Linked DNA regions of Drosophila melanogaster. The protein of the gene in region 2 interacts with the protein of the main gene of each other region in a pairwise test. Each region holds a gene or a part of one and is shown on either strand. Other genes may lie near its edges.

What was found. The genes of interacting proteins can lie anywhere in the genome.
Region 1: the proteins of CG7763 (region 2) and CG12182 interact in a two-hybrid assay, tested with the Drosophila melanogaster proteins (one large-scale study listed by BioGRID).
Region 3: the proteins of CG7763 (region 2) and CG5214 interact in a two-hybrid assay, tested with the Drosophila melanogaster proteins (one large-scale study listed by BioGRID).

What each region holds. Positions count from the first base shown.
Region 1 is NT_037436.4:2,593,613-2,601,535, reverse strand, and holds CG12182 (uncharacterized protein), read left to right. Parts: upstream 1-1,956; 5' UTR 1,957-2,034; coding exon of another isoform or gene 2,035-2,100; 5' UTR 2,101-2,155; coding exon of another isoform or gene 2,156-2,179; 5' UTR 2,180-2,216; coding exon 2,217-2,271; exon of another isoform or gene 2,272-2,411; intron 2,412-2,465; coding exon 2,466-4,342; intron 4,343-4,393; coding exon 4,394-4,546; 3' UTR 4,547-4,686; coding exon of another isoform or gene 4,687-5,504; 3' UTR 5,505-5,560; coding exon of another isoform or gene 5,561-5,666; 3' UTR 5,667-5,694; downstream 5,695-7,923. Other genes in the region: CG16986 (uncharacterized protein), read right to left, coding at 174-515, 577-666; CG16985 (uncharacterized protein), read right to left, coding at 1,425-1,639, 1,704-1,848, 2,035-2,100, 2,156-2,179; CG16984 (uncharacterized protein), read right to left, coding at 4,687-5,504, 5,561-5,666; dos (daughter of sevenless), read right to left, coding at 6,490-7,014, 7,071-7,671, 7,735-7,923.
Region 2 is NT_033778.4:11,411,067-11,417,547, reverse strand, and holds CG7763 (uncharacterized protein), read right to left. Parts: upstream 3,039-6,481; 5' UTR 2,993-3,038; coding exon 2,924-2,992; intron 2,863-2,923; coding exon 2,233-2,862; 3' UTR 2,086-2,232; downstream 1-2,085. Other genes in the region: drip, read left to right, coding at 4,563-4,916, 4,974-5,120, 6,013-6,153.
Region 3 is NT_033777.3:11,242,170-11,249,091, reverse strand, and holds CG5214 (uncharacterized protein), read right to left. Parts: upstream 4,791-6,922; 5' UTR 4,651-4,790; coding exon 4,576-4,650; intron 4,306-4,575; coding exon 4,202-4,305; intron 4,148-4,201; coding exon 4,046-4,147; intron 3,972-4,045; coding exon 3,432-3,971; intron 3,354-3,431; coding exon 3,209-3,353; intron 3,005-3,208; coding exon 2,699-3,004; intron 2,635-2,698; coding exon 2,500-2,634; 3' UTR 2,230-2,499; downstream 1-2,229. Other genes in the region: CG17734 (uncharacterized protein), read left to right, coding at 5,217-5,537.

The DNA.
Region 1 (7,923 bases), on a different chromosome or scaffold from region 2:
CGCAATGAGCATGTTTAATTGACAATTAACTAACAATGTACTGCTACACGTGTAATAAAATAAAGCACATTAATAACCCATAATCATTTATTTGTACAAATTATGAAACTTACTTGGGGCGCTTCGAAAATATTTTTCAAAACGAAGTAGCTCCCAATTTGAGACTATCTAGTCTAGTCAAATTTGATATACTTTAGATGTGTGCCCTTGGCTATCACCAAGTCGTCCTTCTTGTGCTTCAGGGTGCAATCGATGAAGGCAAGGTACTTGCCCACCTTGGACAGATTGGCCTGAATCACCACATCGTCGCCCAGTTTGGCGCCGTTTAGAAAGTTTACACTAAGATCTACCGAAACTCCGGGATGACATGGCTTGGACATTAGGGCGTAGGTGGTTATCAAGTCCACCAGGGTCATGATATAACCGCCGTGCAAAAACTTGTACAAGTTCACATGATCCTGGTCCACCTTTAGCTCAGCAGTGCAGGCTCCATCGCCACCGTCTACGATCTTGACCTTTAATGGAATATAAGGATGAGATAATGATATTGGTAAGGAGACTCTATGGTGATCTAACCTTCTGTAGGTGACTTTCAAAGCCCGTTGACTTGTTGATAATCTCGGTGATGTGTTTAGCGAATTCGAGTCCCTTCTTGCGAGTTCCCATATTATTTATTGATGTTGCTTTACAGACGATCCGCTAGCTTCTATATAACTACAAAATGAATTAGTTTGTCCGATCGGAACGATTAGAAATATACTAGATTTAGTTTTGTAGATAGATAAGTAGTCGTAACGTGCACTTATATCTCAAGTGTCAGATAGTAATTGTTTTACAATAGAACAATCCAACTTTATTGTATGTATGACGTGTGTAAGTTTGGATGGGACTAAATCCATTAAAAAATAAATCACAGTAGTATATTAACAAATGGATTGCTTTGATTTTTTCAATATTTGATTTCATTATCTTCGAGTGCAGTTTTCCGCTTTTCGATGAAAAGTAAACAATTAGCAAGTATCAAAAAATAAGGTAAACATAATATAGCACGATATTATGAAATAGTTAGTATTTAGTTAACGGATCCTACCTAACTATCCCCGTACTGCCCGAAATTTACATAAAAATCTGAAAATCTAACGTAACACCTAACAAAACAATTTCAAAACAAACAACAGCTGTTTTGCGATAAGCAGAATCGCCAATCGATAAGTTAAAAGGGCAAATCGATATGCAAAGTCCTACCTATTTAAAAATTATCCGTTGGGATTTCTATAGTCTTTCATCTATTTTAGTTTTAAATATCTTTATTTTGTAAATTAAGAAATAACTAACTTAAGAAATAATAAATAATTAAACTAGTACGTCTTAAGCAGAGGTTCGAAAGATTTTATTTCGTTTTCTGACGATCTACAAAAATTGTTTTAAAAATCCAGTTTTTCCTTGTCGAACTGAATGTACTTGACCTGTCCGCCCTTGGCGATGATCTTTCCATCGGACTTACGCCTCAGAATGCAGTCCAAATAGGCCATTTTCTTACCGGCCCGCACGGTATTACAATCAATTTCAATAAGTTCGCCAGGTTTCGCTGCTGCAATGTAGCTTACATTCAGGTTGGCCGTAACTCCGGGATGGGATCCTTGAAATTTAAAAAAATTTCATTGTAGATTCTATAGATTGTAATAAACAAACTTTCAAAATACCTTTCGACATAAGGGCATATGTGGTACAATTATCAACAATTGTTGCCGTAAGACCACCGTGCAAAGTTCCTTGGCGATTCAAATGCTCATTGGCCACAGTGAACTCCCCTATTGCGCGACCATCTCCACCGCCTGTAATTTTAATCTGCGAATTGAAATTTGTTTACATTTTTGAATCTCTGAAGATCCCACGAGAGAGGTGAGCACTTCACGGTTATCGATTGCAGCGAGCTGAATTATGTAATACCATCACTGATGACAGTCAGCTGTTTTTGAGAGACTTCGACGGCGTCGCTTTAAAATCGGCTGCACAAATTGTTTAGAATCTTACCATTTTCAAGACGCGGTCGAATCCATTGGACCCGCTGGCGTACTCGGACATCTGCTTCACAAAGTCCTTTGAAAAGAAAGAACTTCAGTTATCTACTCAACAAGTTACATGGTGCTCTAACCATTCCCAGTTTCTTGGCCGCCATTCCGGTGGATTTGGATTCCTGAACTGAGCACGACGAAATGACGAAAGTTACTGAGGGAGAAATTTCACATGGCGTTCAAGATGTCGGGAAATGTGAGTGTATGCGTGCTAAATAGATATACCCACACATCTGAGATAGTGATTGCCGATTTCGCGCGGTTTGTTGTGCTCGCTCTGTTCGCACTTACAAATAATTCCTATTCTTCAATGAAATAGTGTAACTGGAATATCTTGTAATATAATTGCAGTTTGTTATTGCAATTAATAAATGTTTAATTTCGTTCTAGATTATCTGGATTTTCACCTTCTAGCCAAAGGATTCGTCCGCCAGGACTCGGTACACGACTTTGTAAACAGCGATTCCGATGGAGACTTTATAGCACTGAGCGGCTCCAAATCGGAAGTGATCACTCTGGAATTGAGCAGCAAGTTCATGGTCGTGGATCCCTTTCCGTATTTTGTGGCCATTTATGATTCCAACGCTGCGGAAACACGACCTCTGGACGTTTTGGCCAACAAAGTGGATCTGGTTGCCATATACGACAGCTGCGATGTCCTGGAGGCACAGCACTTGGCCCTGGACCCGGCATACACGGCTGTGTGCTCCGTTGCCGTGCCACCAGCCAGACTAACAGCTGTTAAGCGAGCACCCAAGCTGGCAGCTAATGGAAATCTCCTCCTGGGCTCCCTCAACACTTATGGATCCTTGAGCCTAATAAACAAGTCCGCTGAGTACAATCGTTGGAACCCTGTGGAAGGACTAAATATCGCTGAAACTCTGAGGGACACTCTGCTGCCTGAAGTGGACATCGCCAAGATAAAAGACTTTAAGAGCTATCAAGAATATATTAATCCCGCCTGGATCACTATGTTTGCTTGGTTACCTGATGATGCAGATGCCACTGGCCAGCATGTTTTGGTTCTGGGAACAGCCGCAGGAAGTTTGTGGTTGCTCACACTAAGCGCCGATGTCAAAACTCTTTTAAGTCATCAAGAAACGAAAACCTCAATGGGTCGTATCTGCCATATACAAGCTTTCAAGGACCTTCTACTGGTGGGCGATAGCAACGGACTCATTCACCTGTACCAATTGCCAGCTAAGGGAAATACAGCTCTCGCCTTAGTGAAGCCCTTGTGGGAGAAAGCCGATCGCATGGGTCTGCAAATGGCAGTGATCACTGAATGTCCCAGAATGGATTGCTATTATATAACCTGCTGCAAGGCGGCGCACCTGCTGACCTGGAGCATGCCAAGAACGGGGAGCACAGACTGCCTGCAAGCTCGGATCTATGTCGGCGGAATGAAGATCACCGCTCTCTGCAGCCTGGAGAACAGTAGCTACGTTGCAGGAACCGCTGGAAGCTGTTTGTCTTGCGTACAAATTATCCACGAGAATAATCAGCTTAGCCTGCAGATGCAATCGATAGCCATGGGTGTCCTTCAGGATTTCCAGGTGATGGGACTGTGCACCAGTAGGCACAAGAACTTAATGACCCTGTTACTCTACCGCAACAAGGAATATCTAAATGAAACTGTATCTCAAAAGAACCAGTTGGTTATGCAAGTGCTCAAGGTGGGGAATCAGGATCCACTTGATCAGCTTGTCAGGCATCTGGAATCCAATAAGCCCATGAATCACTATACCGATTTATTAGCTGGACTACGTCTGCACGTTTTTGCCGAGGAGAATTGGCAAAAATTTATGGACTTTTGTCCATTAGATTCCATTGAATTTGCCGATACCGCCACTGAAGGTCAGCTGCAGCAGCTGCAAATTAAATTTCATGTTCTTCAAAACGTGATTCGCCTGCAATCGAGCCACCTCCAGCTGACAGTTCACATCCAAAAGTCCCGGGATGAACTGCAGCTGCTCCTTGCGATGCTGAATATCACACACATAAGACTGAGGCTCCAGTTTATTGGGTCATTAAGTAAGAGATCACCATTCCAGGAGCAGGCGATAAAATGTATGTTCGAGGAGGCCCACAGACTGATAAATAAACTCAATGACGACTTCACGGAAAACCATGCCCTAGGATCCACAGCAAGGACATTCGTTGAACAAATGGGCAACCATATTCAGCACTTGCACGAGATGCTAGGTATACCTGTGATATCTAATCCCCAGAAGCAACTTCATCGATGCAGTGTGTCCTTTGTGGAGGTAAGAATTCACTAGAATTCATTTTAAGACAAGACTACAGTATCCGTACAGATCTCCCTCAGCTTGGAGCGACGCTACTGCAGCCTCTGCAACCGCCAAATCCTATTCGAGCTGGACAATCTGCAAGAACTCTACGAGTCGGGGAGACATCTGACATGTCCCGTTTGCCATGGAAGCTTTGCCACGGAAATGTTTAATGCATAAACGTTAAATTTATTCTCAATCTTAATTACGAAGTGTTTTGTGTGTCCGCCTCTAAGAGCAAAGCAAGTGAATCCATGGAGACACCTCACTCGGCTTCCAGATGCCGACACACATGGTCAGAAAAGGTGTGTGTGTCATTGTTAGTACTCGGAAACATAGATAATGGGAGTGGTCTCGATTAGCAGAATGTCCTGCTCCACCTGGCGAAGATCGGACTCCAGCTTGCTTTTGCGCTGCCGCTTGGCGATGCTGTCGATAAGGAGCGACATCGACTGATACTGCTTGGTCATCTCGGTCAGGCTCAGTCGCAGTCCCTCGAGGATCTCATTTCGCTCGGCCTGCTCCATCACCCGCATACCCGGCATTGGCGGCGGACCACTTGATTGGACGGATGCCCTGGTGAAACCCTTGATACCGCGGCACAGCTCCAGCAAACGTGCCTGTTCCTTGGCACACACCGCATTCATGTCGGCCAACATCCTCTTGGTTTTCTTGAGGTAAACAGGCACCTTGCCGAAATCCTTGCGGCAGATAAACTGCGGTACCAATCCGGAATTGAGTAGATCGTGACGAGCTCCCACGGGAGTGTCTACATAACGAGGTGGCGGGGGACAGGGAACCGTTTGTCCGGCACATATCTTGTTGCGTTTGATGAAGTTAGGTACCATTGCCGGCTTTTTGCCGCCACTGCCCGGTGGTGGTAGTGGGGGCATTGGCGGCATCTTGGGACACTTGTGGGTGTTCTCTCGCCGCCATTTGATGCCCTGGCTCTTGCGCAAATAGGCGCACGGTGGGTCAATCGGAGTGTGAGCACAGCCCATGGTGCGGTGGGCTGATTTCTTGGCCTCTGTCAGGACGCGGGTTCCATCGTTCTGGAGGATAATCGATAGCTTCTTGTCCTCCTCGTTAAAGCGTTCGCGAAGTCTCTTGGCATACTTGGCTGCCCTCTCCACAACAGCTGCAAAATTGCTTAAAGTTAGGTGGGAGGTAACGATTTTTAGTACGAATCCCTACGATTTTTGTAGACAAAAATTGATTCCTTAGGTCCTTGGGCCTTCACAAAGTCCTGCTCGCACTCGAGAATATTCTCATCGTGATGGGTGATATAAACCAGGGACATTGTAATACAAATATGTAAGGATGAAGGTAGGGAACTCGAAAGCGTGCTAGTTTACTGACTATTCGTTTAATAATAACAGTCTGTTTGGTGGAGACTCCTGCGTTGCCAAGTACCTCTGCGTTGACTTGGATTGATTTAACTCGAAACAAAGGTTGCTATAGGATTTCCAGAATAAACAGAAGGCAACATCGTTTCCTGGTGATATTGTAATATTCAGATATTTTCTAGCAATCGGAATTCGATATTTGTTCTGGATCTTTTAGGAGAACACACAAAATTGGTATTATTGTATATATATTTTTTAAAGCACAAAATCAAGCTACAGCTTGTGTCGCACACGAGTTACATTATTAAATTGTAAATAATTTGTTACCATATAAAATTCGTGTATATAAATATTTCGCTTGCGTATATAAAATAATTGTTTGCATTGTAAAATTAGCACTAAGATCGTTTGTCATGGTTACATTTTGATTCCGAAGCTTAACAATAAACATGGAAGTGTTGGAAGCACGATTTAAATACGAATACGACATAGATTCAGATACGGGTTACAGATTACAGATTCAAAACAGCACACAGAAATGCTGGTGCCGTCTTACAAGCTAGATATGTGGTTTAATGAATAATGAATTTGACGATGTTAACGAATGTAAAAGCCACTCGAAATTTGCACTGTTTTTGGATGGGGTCAGCTCTCCTCAGCTGACCACCAATAGGCACTACGAAAATCTCGGATCAGCAACATGGTCCTTCCTTTGCTATTGCACGTTGACAAGTAGATGTACTGGAGATATGATTTCATTTAGCTGAACCAGCAGTTTCACTTGTTGCCGCTGCTCTCGCGCTCCTCTCGAATCCTCTTAAATGCCTCCGTCTTGACAAAGTCCACGGATCTATAGACCACGCTGCTAGGCACTGGCGCTCGAGCTCCGCCAGCTTCGACGCCTGCGAATCGCATTCCACTAGCTCCATTTCCGCCTTGTGAGTACAGATTCCCCACACTCATGCTGGATCGATTTAGCAATGGCGGTTTGTTGGTCACATCCAGATCAAAGTACTGCAGCTTGTGCTCAGTCTGCGCCGCCGCTTGCTGCTTGGGAGCAGCTGCTGCCGTCAAGCTCATCATGGCAGCCGCTGCGGAGGCGGTGCGCTGATGTTGTACCGACATGCTGCCGGGACTGTTCGGATGATGCCGATGCTGTTGGCGAGGCAGGGTGCGGGTCTCGTGAAAGAAGGCGTTGGCTGCCGCCGGGGAGTGTACATCCGTTTCATGCGGCAGCACCATTGAGAGAGGGGCACCGGAGGAACGTCGCGTTGCCGGCGACATGGTAGCCGAATTGCCCAACTAAAAAGAAGTCATTAGTAAATTGAATATGGGTGTGCACAACGTTTGTCACTCACCTTATAGGCATTCGGTTTGCACTTCCTGTCCACACTGGGCGGTCCAATGGGCTGCTGCAGTTGGGCTGCACCCAGTTTATTGGTTAACTGATCTACGCCCACCGGGGGCTTTGCAGGAAACTCCTCCGGCGGTTTGTCCTCTACAACTGGCAATCCACCCGCCACCTTTGGCTTAAGTTTCCGGTTAACCGGCGGGCAGTCCGCCTGCTCCATGAAGTCGTATCGAAAAACATTGCCCTCCATCTTTGTGGGAGCTGCATTGGTGTAGCAGTGTCGAGGCAATGTGCGCGCACTGGTGGGCGATGATGCGACTGCCTGTGCCTCACCCATCAGGCCGGGATTCGCTGCCGCTGAAATTGCGGCCACTGCACCCAGATCGGCCGCCATGAGATTCGGTGTGGATGCTGCAATGGGATTGGAATTGTGCGGGCTGGTGACTGGTCGCTCGCCCAGCAGCTGGTTGACGTTGTAGTAAGGCTGCTGGTGGGACCTTGGAATGTCATAGCTTTCCTCGATGAAAGCGGAGTGCGCGTTGCGGCGGGCCACAATGGCCGGCGAAGTATTTTCCGTATCCGACAGCTGCGGCAGATCGCGAGGAATTCTGTCAATGCGCAGGATGATTTAGTAGGCCGTTTAAAATTGAATTGAGTGTGTGTTAACTCACTTTTCATTCTCCTTAAAGTCCAATATGAGATTATTTTTGTTCTTCAGCACCTTGGCCAGCTTATCCAGCGTTCCCTGGTCACCAGCCTCTGGCAGAGATGCTGCTCCTGCTAGCTTGGAACTCTTTTCAGCTGGTGGCACGATCGCTCCTCCTTCCTCGGGCATTTTAGAGAATCGCTGCGAGTACGTT
Region 2 (6,481 bases):
AAGACTACGTAGTGTGTGGGGGTACGGTACATTTTGTGTACTTATATTTTTATTTTTTTATATTTCTTATTTCTTATTTCTTATAATCTGTATTTTTTTATATTATTTTTTTTATAGTTTTTTTTGTATTTCTTTTTGTATTTCTTAACTCATTCTTTTTTTTTTTTTTTTTTTTTTTTTTTTTTTTTTTTTTAACTAATGTTTTTTTTATATAGGGTATGCATGGGGGGAATATTTCATTAGCTGCCACAACGTACTTTTATTACTTTCGTTATTCTTTTTCGCGTTTCTTTTTTAAATGTGAAAGCCACGTCTCAATTTCTTAGATCAGATTTGTGGAAAATTTTTCCTGATCTGGTTTTAACTGTTATTACTTTACGGAAATGTGAGACAACGGTTTTAACCCGATAAAAAAGAATATCTGTTCTTCTTTGCTTTTTCTTTATTTCTCTAAATTTAGCAAATATGGCAATAAAGTTTAATGAAATATTTCACTCACCCTTGTATGCTCTTTATTAGTTTTCGTCGTTTAGGTTGTACCCCTACAGCATGAATATTCTATTGGGATAAGTAAAAAAAGGTGAATTAGTGTATTGTAGAGAATTTTTATTCATTTCGTTTCGGGAAATTGGGGAAATTGTACTATACTTGTTTTCCTTTGAATTGTGGTGTTGTGCATGTGTTTATACAATTTTTGTGCGCTATTCCATTTTGCAATATTTTTTCCTTGCGTGCGTGCTGTTACAGTTTTTTATTGATGACCTCTAATTTATTTCGGCACTGGGCACGGTGGTTCCGTAGTATCCCTTTTGGCTGGTTGCCTACTAAGGTACGGCCGCCACACAACTTGTTGGGCGGTTTTTTTTTGGGTGCATTCCACACCACTTAACGTATCCAACAAGCTGCCACACACCACCTTATCACTCTGGGCGCTCATATTACTCGTACTGCCGCAGGTAAACTGCTGCAATGGTTAATTATTGGTTTATTATACACAATCTTTTGCACTCGCGAATTGGCAAGGAGAGAAAAAAAAAATTTTCCCACAAGCCGTACCGCCGCAGTGGGTTGATCGTGTTTTAATTATGTTATAGGTATCGTACAACTTTTGCGCTCGGCATGGGCGACGTGGCGTCCTCCGGTAGCGGGTCGTTGTTTTATTAATTTAAATTAGGTCTTGGCGCAACATAGGTTTACATTTTTATTTTAGAAATTTTACACCTTTTATTGAATTATGCAATATTTGTTGCGCCCCGGGATGGGCGTAGTTCCCCCCGGCAGCGGGTAATTGCTATTTTATCATTTTATACACAGCTCACGCAGCACTTCTTTTTCATTTATGGATTTCAGATCTTAATCTGACTTATGCACACCACCACTATTTTTACGCACAAATTTCCACAATTTTTTCGTATCACTTTTATCGGCCGGACATTGCCGGTCCCTGCTCGGGCGCCAGTTAACGCAAGTTCCACTTGCATCAGGGTTCTCGGCACTCGCTGCCGCATACCTCACCTCGATATGACAACCAACATGCTGTGGTTCTCCAAATAATAGTCAAGATAGTTAAGAGGGTTCGAGTTTACGATTAGCTTTATTTTAAGATTCAGTTCGCGATCTGCTAGCGGTTCCGTTATGTGTCCGTTCGACACTGGGGCCTCTTCTCCCGCCCCGCTGCTTTTATATCCGCTTCCCCCGTTGACCCCTCACCCTGAGTGCGACCAACGGCACTTGTTCCGAATGCACACATACACAAACATGTTCCTAGACAGGCCCCGAGTCGCCTGCTGACGGGGCCCGAAAACACGAGAGCCGAGCGCTGGTGAGTCCTGACGAAGATCGCAAGAAGAGGGTTCGTAACTTACACGAACATGTTACTAGACAGGCCCCGAGTCGCCTGCTGACGGGGCCCGAAAACACGAGAGCCGAGCGCTGGTGAGTCCTGACGAAGAGCGCAAGAAGAGGGTTCTTAACTTATATATCTCGATCGGGGGAAGAGTCTTGCCAGACTTTTTGTAGCCAATGGAAAACCTTGAGAGCACGGAGAGTGCTGACACAAAATAATGAAATAGTGGTCAATTCATATAGGATTATATGTATATTCGTAAATAAAGTCTTATTCCAACTTGTTCGTTTTGAAATAAACATTATACTTATTTCCTCCATAAACCATGTGGTAAATGTCAGATATCAAAAACTAATATTAACTTCAAAGAGATAAATATTTTTGTATTATATTTCAATAGATTTTTCGCAAATAAAATAGAGATTGGCAAAACATGAGTTATCGTTCATGGTAGTTTTCCCATTGAATGTTCGGATATCCACACACTCTCCATCTTTTGTGGGTTCCCCATCGGCCCAACTCAAAAAATTGGCCTTCGATCCTTTGGTCACAGAAACGAATTCACTTTCGTTGAACTGATTGGTCACGTCGATCCAGTAGCGATTCAGGCCATTAAGTTGGTTATTGAATCTATCCAATTCCTCCTGACTTTGCAGACTGGCCAGATGGCCACCCATTTTGTGGCATTTATCCAAAGCATCGTGCCAGTTTAGCTTCTCTTCCTTTTCGATGTAGTAGTATTTGCTTCCCAGTTGTTGGAAAATTTCGTTTTCTTCCAGTTTTCTGCCCATTGCTGTACCGTGTGTCAGCAGTTGTTGCGAAGTATTTTGATTTTCCAGCTGCAAGTTCGTTGAAGTGCCAAAATTGTCCAGTCTTCGGTCATTTAGGGCTATTCTCGCTATTGCAACAGCTGCTTCACAGGCTTCAACCCTTCGTTGCAAATTGCCCATGCTCGCGATGCAGGGATTCAAGACACCGTAGCAATATGCAGCACATTGGGAATCGCTTTCAACGCCCTAAGAAGATATGTGAATGTAAATATTTAGCATTTCTAAACCACTTCTCTACTTCACTCACCTCGCAGGCTGCTGAATAACTTGAACTCAGACACAACGGGAGTACCAAAAATATAATAGATTTTTGCATTGCTGCGATTCTGAGATCTTTTAAATCCGAGTGCCAAAAACAGACTGACTTAAATGCTTCGAAACCAAGTATATTAGAAAGAAATCCAATAAAGAAAGAAACAGAAAATCTGACGCTGCATGATGATAAGAGATAGGTACTATGTACGACTTATCGCTCTGCACAGCATGTGGGTATAGTTATCTGCATACACAGAAAAACATAATGCAATTCATAATTCATAAAAATTAAAAATATATTTAACATTTTTTAATTAGATCGGCTTAGAACTAAAAAGTCACATAGTGTAATTAACCCATTCGAAATGCGTAATAAACTCGTAGCGTAATCACATAGGCCTAACTCGATTAGAGCCATATTTCATCGATGACTCACGTCTAAGTTCAGTCAGTCCGTCATTCGCGGTTTTCACACGCAGCCGGTCTGTCGATCTCGATTGCTTTCGTTGCATATATTAAATTTAATTATGGGTTTCGGGCTCGACAATAAATTTGATTAATTTCACGACTCTTCGAGTGTGTGCAGCTAAGACGAGTGGAGGCATTGAGTCGAGAACAATAGGCCTAAACTATTGTGGCTAAAAGCTTTAGATCCAAACGATTAGGTCAGGCTGAGTGGCGGCAGCAAAGGCGGCAACTTAGTCTTAGTATAGACGAAGTCGAAATTGCGCTGCACGCATGCGCATAACCAAAATGTCAAGAAGTTGTTCGAGTTGTAGTGGCTGCTCGGATTTGTGGCCTATTGCCGTTTGGGCCGCAAAACGCGACTCGAACTTGCTCTTGGCGGCATTTGTAATTAGCGTTTTGTGGCCGAACAGCCAACACACGGGCATTTTTTTTTGTTTTTTTCTTTTTTGCGCATTTATTAATTAAACGCACAGCGACGCACGACATTGGCCGTGCGTCCAATGCGAACTGCGAACCGCGAAATCCATATCGAAATCGAATTCGTATCACCAAAACGTAGAGAAACACGGCTGGAAAGAGATATCAAACATAGAAGCCTGCACATCGACCTTGGGCGCAGAGTGAACAGTGCATTTCGGGCTCCATTCATAACACTTGATCCAATCCAATCCAATCCAATACGATGCGATGCGATGCGAGGCGATCCGATCCAATGCGATTTCCATTTAAGTGATTCCATGTGATCTCTTCACGGGCAATGACTCAACAGAACCCCGAATCACTTTTACTTCCCAGCCAGCTCCACCTGAACTTTGCAGACACGCTAAACACAATAAATGCACTCGAGTGCATCTCACGTCTGACAAATTGCTTGTATCCGCTGGCAGTTCGATATGCAACGATATTGTGCAATGGAAAATTCGGAAAATCGCACAATCAGCTTCATGGCAAAGGGCAAACTTTGAGCGCAGCTATGGTTAAGATGTTGCGTTGTCAACTCGACATTTGCAAGCGCCGATGGAGGTGGAGATAGGCCATTATCTACATTATGTTCGACTGGGCCTTAGCCTCCTTGATTTGATCTTCATACTTTTTTTCCTCTTTTATTGAGCCTTATAATAAATATATTCTTGAATATCCTCTTATTTTGTTCTCTCTCTCAGGGCTTGGGCCACCTCAGTGGCTGTCACATTAATCCGGCGGTCACCCTTGGATTCCTGATCGTTGGTGAGATCAGCATTCTGAAGGCTGCCTTCTACATCATCGTCCAATGCGTGGGCGCCATTGCTGGAGCGGCTGTGATAAAGGTGGCACTCGATGGAGTGGCTGGTGGCGACCTGGGAGTATCCTCCTTTGATCCCTCCCTGAACTGTGCACAGGCGGTGCTGATCGAAGCGCTGATCACCTTTATTTTGGTTTTCGTGGTCAAGGCTGTTTCGGATCCTGGACGCCAGGATATCAAGGGATCAGCGCCACTGGCTGTTGGTTTGGCCATCGCCGCTGGCCATTTGTGTGCAGTGAGTACGAGGTGATGGAGTTCTCCGACTGGAGGTTAATAAGTGTACCATTTACAGATCAAACTGAGCGGTGCCAGCATGAATCCCGCCCGGTCCTTTGGTCCCGCCGTAGTGCAGGGCGTCTGGACCTATCACTGGGTTTACTGGGTGGGTCCCATTGCCGGCGGCCTGTTGGCCGGAATCATCTACAGATTAATCTTCAAGGTACGCAAGGGCGATGATGAGACCGACTCGTACGACTTCTAAACAGTGGCCGAATACCATATATGTATTTTTGTAAATGTCCGCACCTGCTTTCCATTCCCATCACACATTCGCTTTCCCATCGAATTCGTTTGCCGAAATTTCTCGTAGTTTAGGTTTGCTCCACCATCACAACCAAGCTGAATTTTCAACGCAATTTGTACCATTTTATTTTTTAAACAATAAGAAAGCAAATGTCTCGTTTAGTTGTACCGCGATGCCCCAGCACTTTAAAATATGCAATATTGTATTTGAGTAATTTTAAGCTAAATTATATGCACATCATCATTACGCGAATCGAAGGAAAACTGTATTGAAGCTTAACTAAATTGTACTGGGAAATCACTTTCCAAAGCAGCGAACAGGTGGATTACCTACGCTGTTGATCGCCACTTGCTGAGCACCTGCGAATTGTATTATGACTATGTGTAATAAAAAAATATAAAGAAATTACCAATGTTCATCTTTGTCTGAATGTCCTGGGGCTTCATTCATTCATTGCCAATCGTCATCAGTTACTCTTTTTTATTATTTCTATTTTTTACTTGTGCGTCATCCTTAAAGCAACGGGTATAAATGTAGTAAAACTAAGTCCAGAAATCAGGAATTTGATGCTAGCATTTGGGCTTACCAATACATCACACTTAATCATTGGGTGACATTTATACTAATTATGAAGTTTAGACCTATGCTGCTTTCGGAAATAAACTAATTCGGGAAATTGAGTATAGTTTTCCGTAATTCGGAAGGAGAGCATTCAATGGATATCGCTTGGTTTTGCAATAAGTATAAAGCGGGCGTTAAGCCGTATCCTGGGTATTTTTCTGTGTGGATGCTAATGTATACATTTCAGCTTAAGAAGGGCTGTACCCCATTTCAAGGTCATGAATCATTGTGGTCACTAGATGCCCTCAGAATCCCTGTAATGGCATGGTTCGCATTTTCAATCCTTTGCATACTACTGATGATGTACTGCGTGCTCACACAAACATAACGTGGATCTCGATACGTGTATTAATTAGGATATTAAGGTATTTTGGTTCTCTTTTTGTGTTTTTATTTTTCTTTAAATATTCCACCGGTATTTTAAGCTGTTATTTATTTTTAGGTTTGATTTTTATCATCATGGAGGAAAAGGACGTTTAATTAAGCCATTGCCATATTCGATCATAAAAGAACTGCAAATATTTGGACATATTTTTATTAACACTAAAATATTCTTAATAAGTATTTTATTAATAAATACGGGCTGGCCCTATATGACACGTTTTTACTCATTAAAATCGACATTCTTTGACTTATTATTTATTATTTATTTATGC
Region 3 (6,922 bases), on a different chromosome or scaffold from region 2:
CCAAATTCAAGCAAATTCAAGCAACCAAATTTACAACGAAGTAGCAGTTATAGTAGCTCCAACCTCCCCTCCGACAAATCCGGCACAGAAATTTAGTTATGAATTTTATTTACACACAAGAACATTTCTAGAGAGCAGCATCTTCCCACCTTTGGCTAGTAGGACTACGATAAAACAAAAAAAATTTAAAGAACATATTTACCAAAAAAGTTTCGGGCAATTTGGAAATTTGCAAAAATCATTGAGACAAACGCGAGAAGCACCCACGAAGAGTAGCAAATGGAATCTTGTACAATAGTTCTATTGAAAGACATTCGAAATGAAAGAAAAGCAAAGAAAGCTAGAAAAGCATATCCTTCCCGGCCAGATCTACGCAAAGAGAGAGACAGATAGAGATAGATAGAGAGAGACAGCCAAACAAAAGGACAGGTAGTATGCGAGTATAGCATATATGCATATATTCCATAGCCAGAACAGGAGTAAAAGGACCACAATCGCGAAAAGTTAACATTTCGGACACAAGGTTGGGGATACCTAGTGTAATTGCTTAGACTTAAGAGTGTTGCACTAAGCCAAGTGCAGTGCCGACTGACCCCGCCCACAACAACGCCCCCCGTTGAGCAAAAAAAAAAAACCGTAGATAATGGAAATTTCCCATCGGGCAGACCAAAAAGATACATCTTAGGCCTCTTTAGACCCAAATGAAACAAAATGAAGACCTAAAGAAATGAAGAAAGAACAGGAACTACGATTAAGCGCGAATTGTACCACGTAACTACACTTTGTATCCCCTTAGTTAAGCTAAAATTATTCGAGATATATACGAGAAATTGCACAAAAAAAAAACGCACAAAATGCTAAAGAAAGGAAAACTAATGTAGATAATGCCAATCCTTTTGTCTAAAATTTCAACTCTTGGAAATTTCGCAATTGAATTGCGGAATATTTTAGACGAAACGATTGCCGCATTTTTTATGTGATTTTATACACACAATTCATTTGCACACAGAAGTATAATTATCTATATTTTATTTCGATAATCTCCCTACACTATCATTATCGTCGTCAGATTCAATTTCTTATATTTTTTTTTTCGACACATGTGATAAGCGAAAATGTTAAGCAAAACATTGGAAAAACGAATTTCAACCAGGACAAAAAAAAGAACCAAAATCAAAACTGTGTTAATCAATCTTTGATAGATCTACAAAAAAAATTTAAGTTTCAATAAGTAAGCTAAAAATACGAGTTTAATGTATACAAAAGTATCATTTGGCACAAATCCATCAAAATCACAATTAATCCTTTATACGAATATATATTATTTAAATTGTTATTTCAACCGTACAACCTCAAAAACACATAAATATTGTAAACATTAGAAATAGCGAGATTAAAAAAATACCAAACAAAAATCAATAAAATTGTACAAGCCAATTTGCTCTAATAACAAAACAATACAAACTGTCTTTTACTTAACTGTGCTATTATTAAGTGAGGATATTTGGAAAAGGGATTCCAAATGAAAGTGTGAATCTTCCAAGGGATATTTACGAAATCTGTAATAATGGTCACCACTTCTTCAAATGGTAAGAAAAAATTAATATATGTATATATTCGTCAGACATTATTAAAACTCTTATTTCCCCTCTTATCTCCCTTTAAATCTCTTATTTCAATATCTTCCTATAGTCTTTAAAATTATCTGAGAGAGCCAATTTAAATGAATCCCTGCCAGAGAGTGAATTGCTTTCAGTGATAAGTTTGCAACGCAGCAATGGATACATTTACCACCATATAAATTCGTGATTAGAATCAACAGCCGAGTCGATATAGCCATGTGATCTCTTCCGTTTCTATGCATATTGCATCTCCCGGGTTTAAAGTGTTTTTCTTTAGTACAGTATATTAGTCGGAACAGACCGGATGGGACCAAATTAATAATAATAATCGAAAAATACAAAACTATTCCCGTGCAAAAAGCCATCAGAGATAATTAATAATCACCTTCGCTAGACGCAATCCACTTAAAACTCAATTAAAGCCATACTCACATGACAAATTATTTGATAAGAATGTTTATAGTTTGTATTAAGATATATATAAATATTGCTTCAGATAAGATTACCAAGACATTCAATATGATCAATTTTTAGTTTCGCTACAAGCTGCCATTAATAGGTCGTTAGTCCAAAAAAAAAACCACTTCATTTGACAATCGAATGCATTGAGGTTGGTCAATATTCATCATCGATTTATTACGACATTCCATCGCAGCGTCTTAGGTTAACAATAACATTCAGTGCACAGGTTATGTTTAAGAAAAGATCCACGTTTGATTTATTATACTACATCCGTTGCTAAGAGTAGTTCGAATTCGGTTGATTTTCTAATTTTTGTGACGCTCGCAAAATGAAATAATAAATAACCAAAGACAGTTTCAAATTAAGAAGGCTAATATCAAATTAAGGCCGTGGACGTGTCTTAAGACAATTCACATTACAATCCGGCAACAATTATTGCTGGGTTCTCTACGGCAGCCTTTATTTTTCGCAGGAACAGGACCGCCTCACGTCCATCAATGATTCGGTGATCGTAGGTCAGGGCGATGTACATCATAGGACGTATCTTGACCTGGTTGGACAATGCAATGATTAAAATACAGCAGGTTGTTAAGCGAATGTTGAGGAGTCCTCACCTCTCCCTTGACAGCAATTGGCCGCTCAAAGATGCCGTGCATGCCGAGAATGGCACTCTGTGGCGGATTGATGATGGGCGTGCCCATCAGGGATCCGAACACTCCGCCATTGCTGATGGTGAAGGTGCCACCGTCCATGTCCTCCACGGTGATGGCATCACGCCTGGCCTTATCGGCCAGACCGGCCAGTGCGATCTCGATGTCCGCATAGTTCATGCCCTCCACGTTGCGGATGACGGGTACCACCAATCCACGGGGCGTAGCCACGGCCACAGAGATGTCAACGTAGTCGCGATACACGATGTCCTGCAAAATGAAGGCAATTATGAGCGCTTGGCAACACAGAAAATTCCACATTCATCATATCGCCACGGGAAATTGCATAAACAAATGCGACCATATAAGCTAAATGTTCGCCTGATAAGGCCATTTAAAAAAGCGTGGCAATCCAAACTACGTCACGGGCGATAAGAATATGATAAGCGGAGGGCGGGGCGGAGGCTTGTTTACCGTGCCATCGATGACGGCGTTCACTACGGGCTGATCCTGCAGCGCATAGGCACTAGCCTTGGCGAAGATCGACATGAATCCAAACTTAATACCATACTTCTTAGTGAACGCATCCAGATTCTGCTTTCGGAAGTCCATGGCATAGCTAAAAAAGAAACGATTATGCGTTTTATAGCTCAATTTCATGCTGTAGTTTCGTCACTCAGTTCGTTCAAGCACTCACCTCATATCAACCTCGTTGAAAGTGGTGAGCATGGCACATGTGTTCTGGGCATCCTTCAAGCGGGCGGCAATCTTTAGACGCATGCGGTTCATCTTGACACGCTGCTCGGACCTAGTGCCTAGGATCTGCCGCGATCCGTCCGCTGGTGGCACCTTCACCTGGGCGACGGCCGGTTTGAGTGCAGCCACTGGAGCAGGTGGCGGTGGTCGAGGGGCTGCCTTTGGTGGTGGCGGTGGTGGTGGCTTTGGTGCGCCGGCCGCAGGTGGTGGAGGTGCCGGCTTGGGTGCAGCAGCTGGAGCTGGTGCTGCTTTTGGGGCAGCAGGCGCAGGAGCAGCCGCTGGAGCAGCTGCCTTGGCGGGCGCTGCACCGGGCTTGATCTTGAACAGAGCCTGGCCGGGCTTGACGGTGTCGCCATCCTTCACCAGAATGTCGGTTAGAGTTCCGGAGAAGGGAGCTGGCACAGCCACCGTCGTCTTGTCGGTCTCGATTTCCATGACAGCCTCGTCAGCGGCGAATGAGTCACCCACCTTGCAAGTAAACCTGTTGCAGGAATTGATCGTTAATAGATGAGCATGAACCTGTTGCTTGAAACCAGCCCTGTGCCGTGGTCTTACTTGATGTCACCCTCGGCAATGGAGTCCGCAAAGGGTGGCACATTGACGGTCTGCTCCGACCACAAGCTCGACGTGGTGTGGATTCCCTGCCAGGTGAGAAGCCTAGGAATAAACAACTCTGGATGAAGGGACTCTTGTGGATAGTGAAGGACTTACCTGGTGGCCTCCTGGCAGCGATTCGAGCCATCCTGGCGAAGCAGTTGCTGCTGCTGGGCGGCGCAGGCAACTAACCGAGAATATTGGCGGATGCAGCGCTTTACCTGGCGGAAAGAAGCAAATATTAGTGATTGCACAACCAGGAGGCAACGTCGGCTGACGGGTCACGTGCAGCGGGCGTCCCAAACAAAAGTTTTTCCCATTTTTCAGCGGCGCACGCACACACACCCATACAATTACATAATCGGCGAGCGCCAGGCGGGCAGTGAATATGGGATAAAAATTGATATGTACATATATATCGCCGGAGCATATATCACACACCTGACGGGCCCCCTCCACCCGGCAATCCCCAGCCCGTCCACAATTTTTACCTCATTACTCCGCAGGGCTCGCATTCCCAAAGTTTGGGGCAGCCGTCTCGTTACGATCGAAATTATTCCCGTCATTGCTGCGACTCTGGTCCGCGAAATTCTGTTCGACGGTTGTTCTACTTTCAATTTATGTCAAAGCACTCGAATTTAAAACAGAGTTAGCGGCCAAGGCAAAGCAACGTCGATTTCTGCAGTCCGCCCCTTTCCCTTTAAAAAAATACCAATTTCTTATGTCATGACAGAAACGGCAAAAGCGTCACCTGGCGGAAAAGCGCGCAAAGCTTGCAAACAGCTGATAGCGGCTTTCGGTATTTTTATCTTGAAGTGCGGCCAGAACAGCAGCCAAACTATCGATGCCCTTGATAAGTTTTAATTGTGTATAATCAAAATAAATGCAATCTAATGTTTAGCAATAACCTGAGTAGTTAAGTGGTCTTAATATTTTTACAGATTAGCAGAACTTTAGAACTTTATAGACTATTTAAATATAGCTTACTCTGGGAAACCTTTCTGTGAGCGATAAGTTTTTGCTCTGGTCACACATTGCTCGAACTGCTGTCCATTGCAGAAAGTTTCGCGAACGTTGCCAAGCGATTAAACCGATCCGAACCGCCCGCGTACATAATATAATATTCGTGAAAATGAGTTCCAAGTCCCTTTTCGACAGCGAGGAGGATGCCGCTCAGGCCAACAAATTATCCAGGAAAGCAAAGGAATCGCCCTTCATGCTTGTGGGTGAGTTTTGCCAATTTCCGGACAGCGAAAGTTTTGCCGCCGTGACGTCACATGGAAACTTTTGGCTCAGCAGCCAGCTAGATACGCACATATCTACACACATTTACGAATGTACATTGCGTGTGCGGCGGGGAAGTCGGCTAATCTTGACCTTGGCCATGAGTTTAACGTCAATTTGGGGTCACTTTTTGATGTCACTGTGTGACATAACGGTGAATGCAGTATGATCCGTAACTCGTTCTGGAGAGCGAATGATGTAACAGGAGTATTTCGAAATTCACGCAAATCGCAAGGCAAATGAGATTATCACATCCGTGACGTCACGTAGCCATCTGATCTTTGCGCGTGTTCGAATGTTCAGCTCTCTTGTCTGCGTATGCGACAATTAACAGCTGACGCTGACAAGTGCTGACTATTTGAGAGATTTCATCGTTTTAGCTATTAAAAAGATTACAGTAAAATGCGCCGCTTTAAAAATTTTCGAATAGTTTCCGAAGATATGGATATTGCTTGAAATAAACAGTTTCCTAAAGAGCTTTATATTTTAGTTAGAATATAAAATGTTACATTATGTGATTCTATAATATTATCTAAATTCTAGCTTCATTTTTGGCAGCACTAGATTCACATAATTAGTATTTACTTGTATGATTTTATTTGCGCAACGTCTGGCTTTTATCAGCTGTTTCGCGCAGTCAGCTAGCAACAACAAGCAATCCGCCGCATGGACAATAGAAACTAATCGGTGATTCGCACCTTCACTCACAGGTATTACCGGATTCGTGGCCGCCGGATTGATTGGAGCGTACAAGTACCGGAACCGCGGAACGATGAGCACCAGCGTCTTCCTGATGCAGCTGCGAGTCGCCGCCCAGGGAACCGTCGTCGGATGTCTGACCCTCGGACTGGCCTACAGCATGGCCAAGGAGTACCTGTTCGACAAGGCGCCCAAGGAAAAGTAATGGACAGTTCCTACTTAGTTAATACTAGCTGTAGCTTAAGTTGTTTTAACCGCGTACAGAAAGAATCCTGAATCCCAATCCCAATTGAATCCCCAATACAATTGTTTCATATTTATGTCTATTTCCAAATGCTTTCGGTTTCCACATGTCTATTAACATTCACTGAAACGCATATTCCCATATTCATGACTGTCTATTTAGTTTTCATACGTTTTGATTTATTTATTTCCCCTATTTGATTTACTCTTAATTTTAGCACAAAGTCATTGACTAACTAAAGACCATCTGATTGCTCGGCGTCCCTCTCTAAAAATCACAAGATGACATCGGCTAGATCACTTACACATAAGCAATCAGACCCTCTATTTATTGCATCATCATGGTTCATACCGATCCACTTGGATAGAATCACTGGAGGGCAGGACTCTCGCAAGTATTCCCGAGCGTTCAAGCCCACAACATTAGATACAGTTTTGTAAACCTGCGTAAGATTGTGATATTGTGTGTTTTAATGTACAAGTTGAACATCCAAACGAAAGCTGTCGAAGCAGACGACAAGATGATAAATACCTCTCGCATGATATGATATACTTAAATAAATCAATTTAGACTAAAAGAAACCACCCATACGTTTTTTTTACTATCCGGGC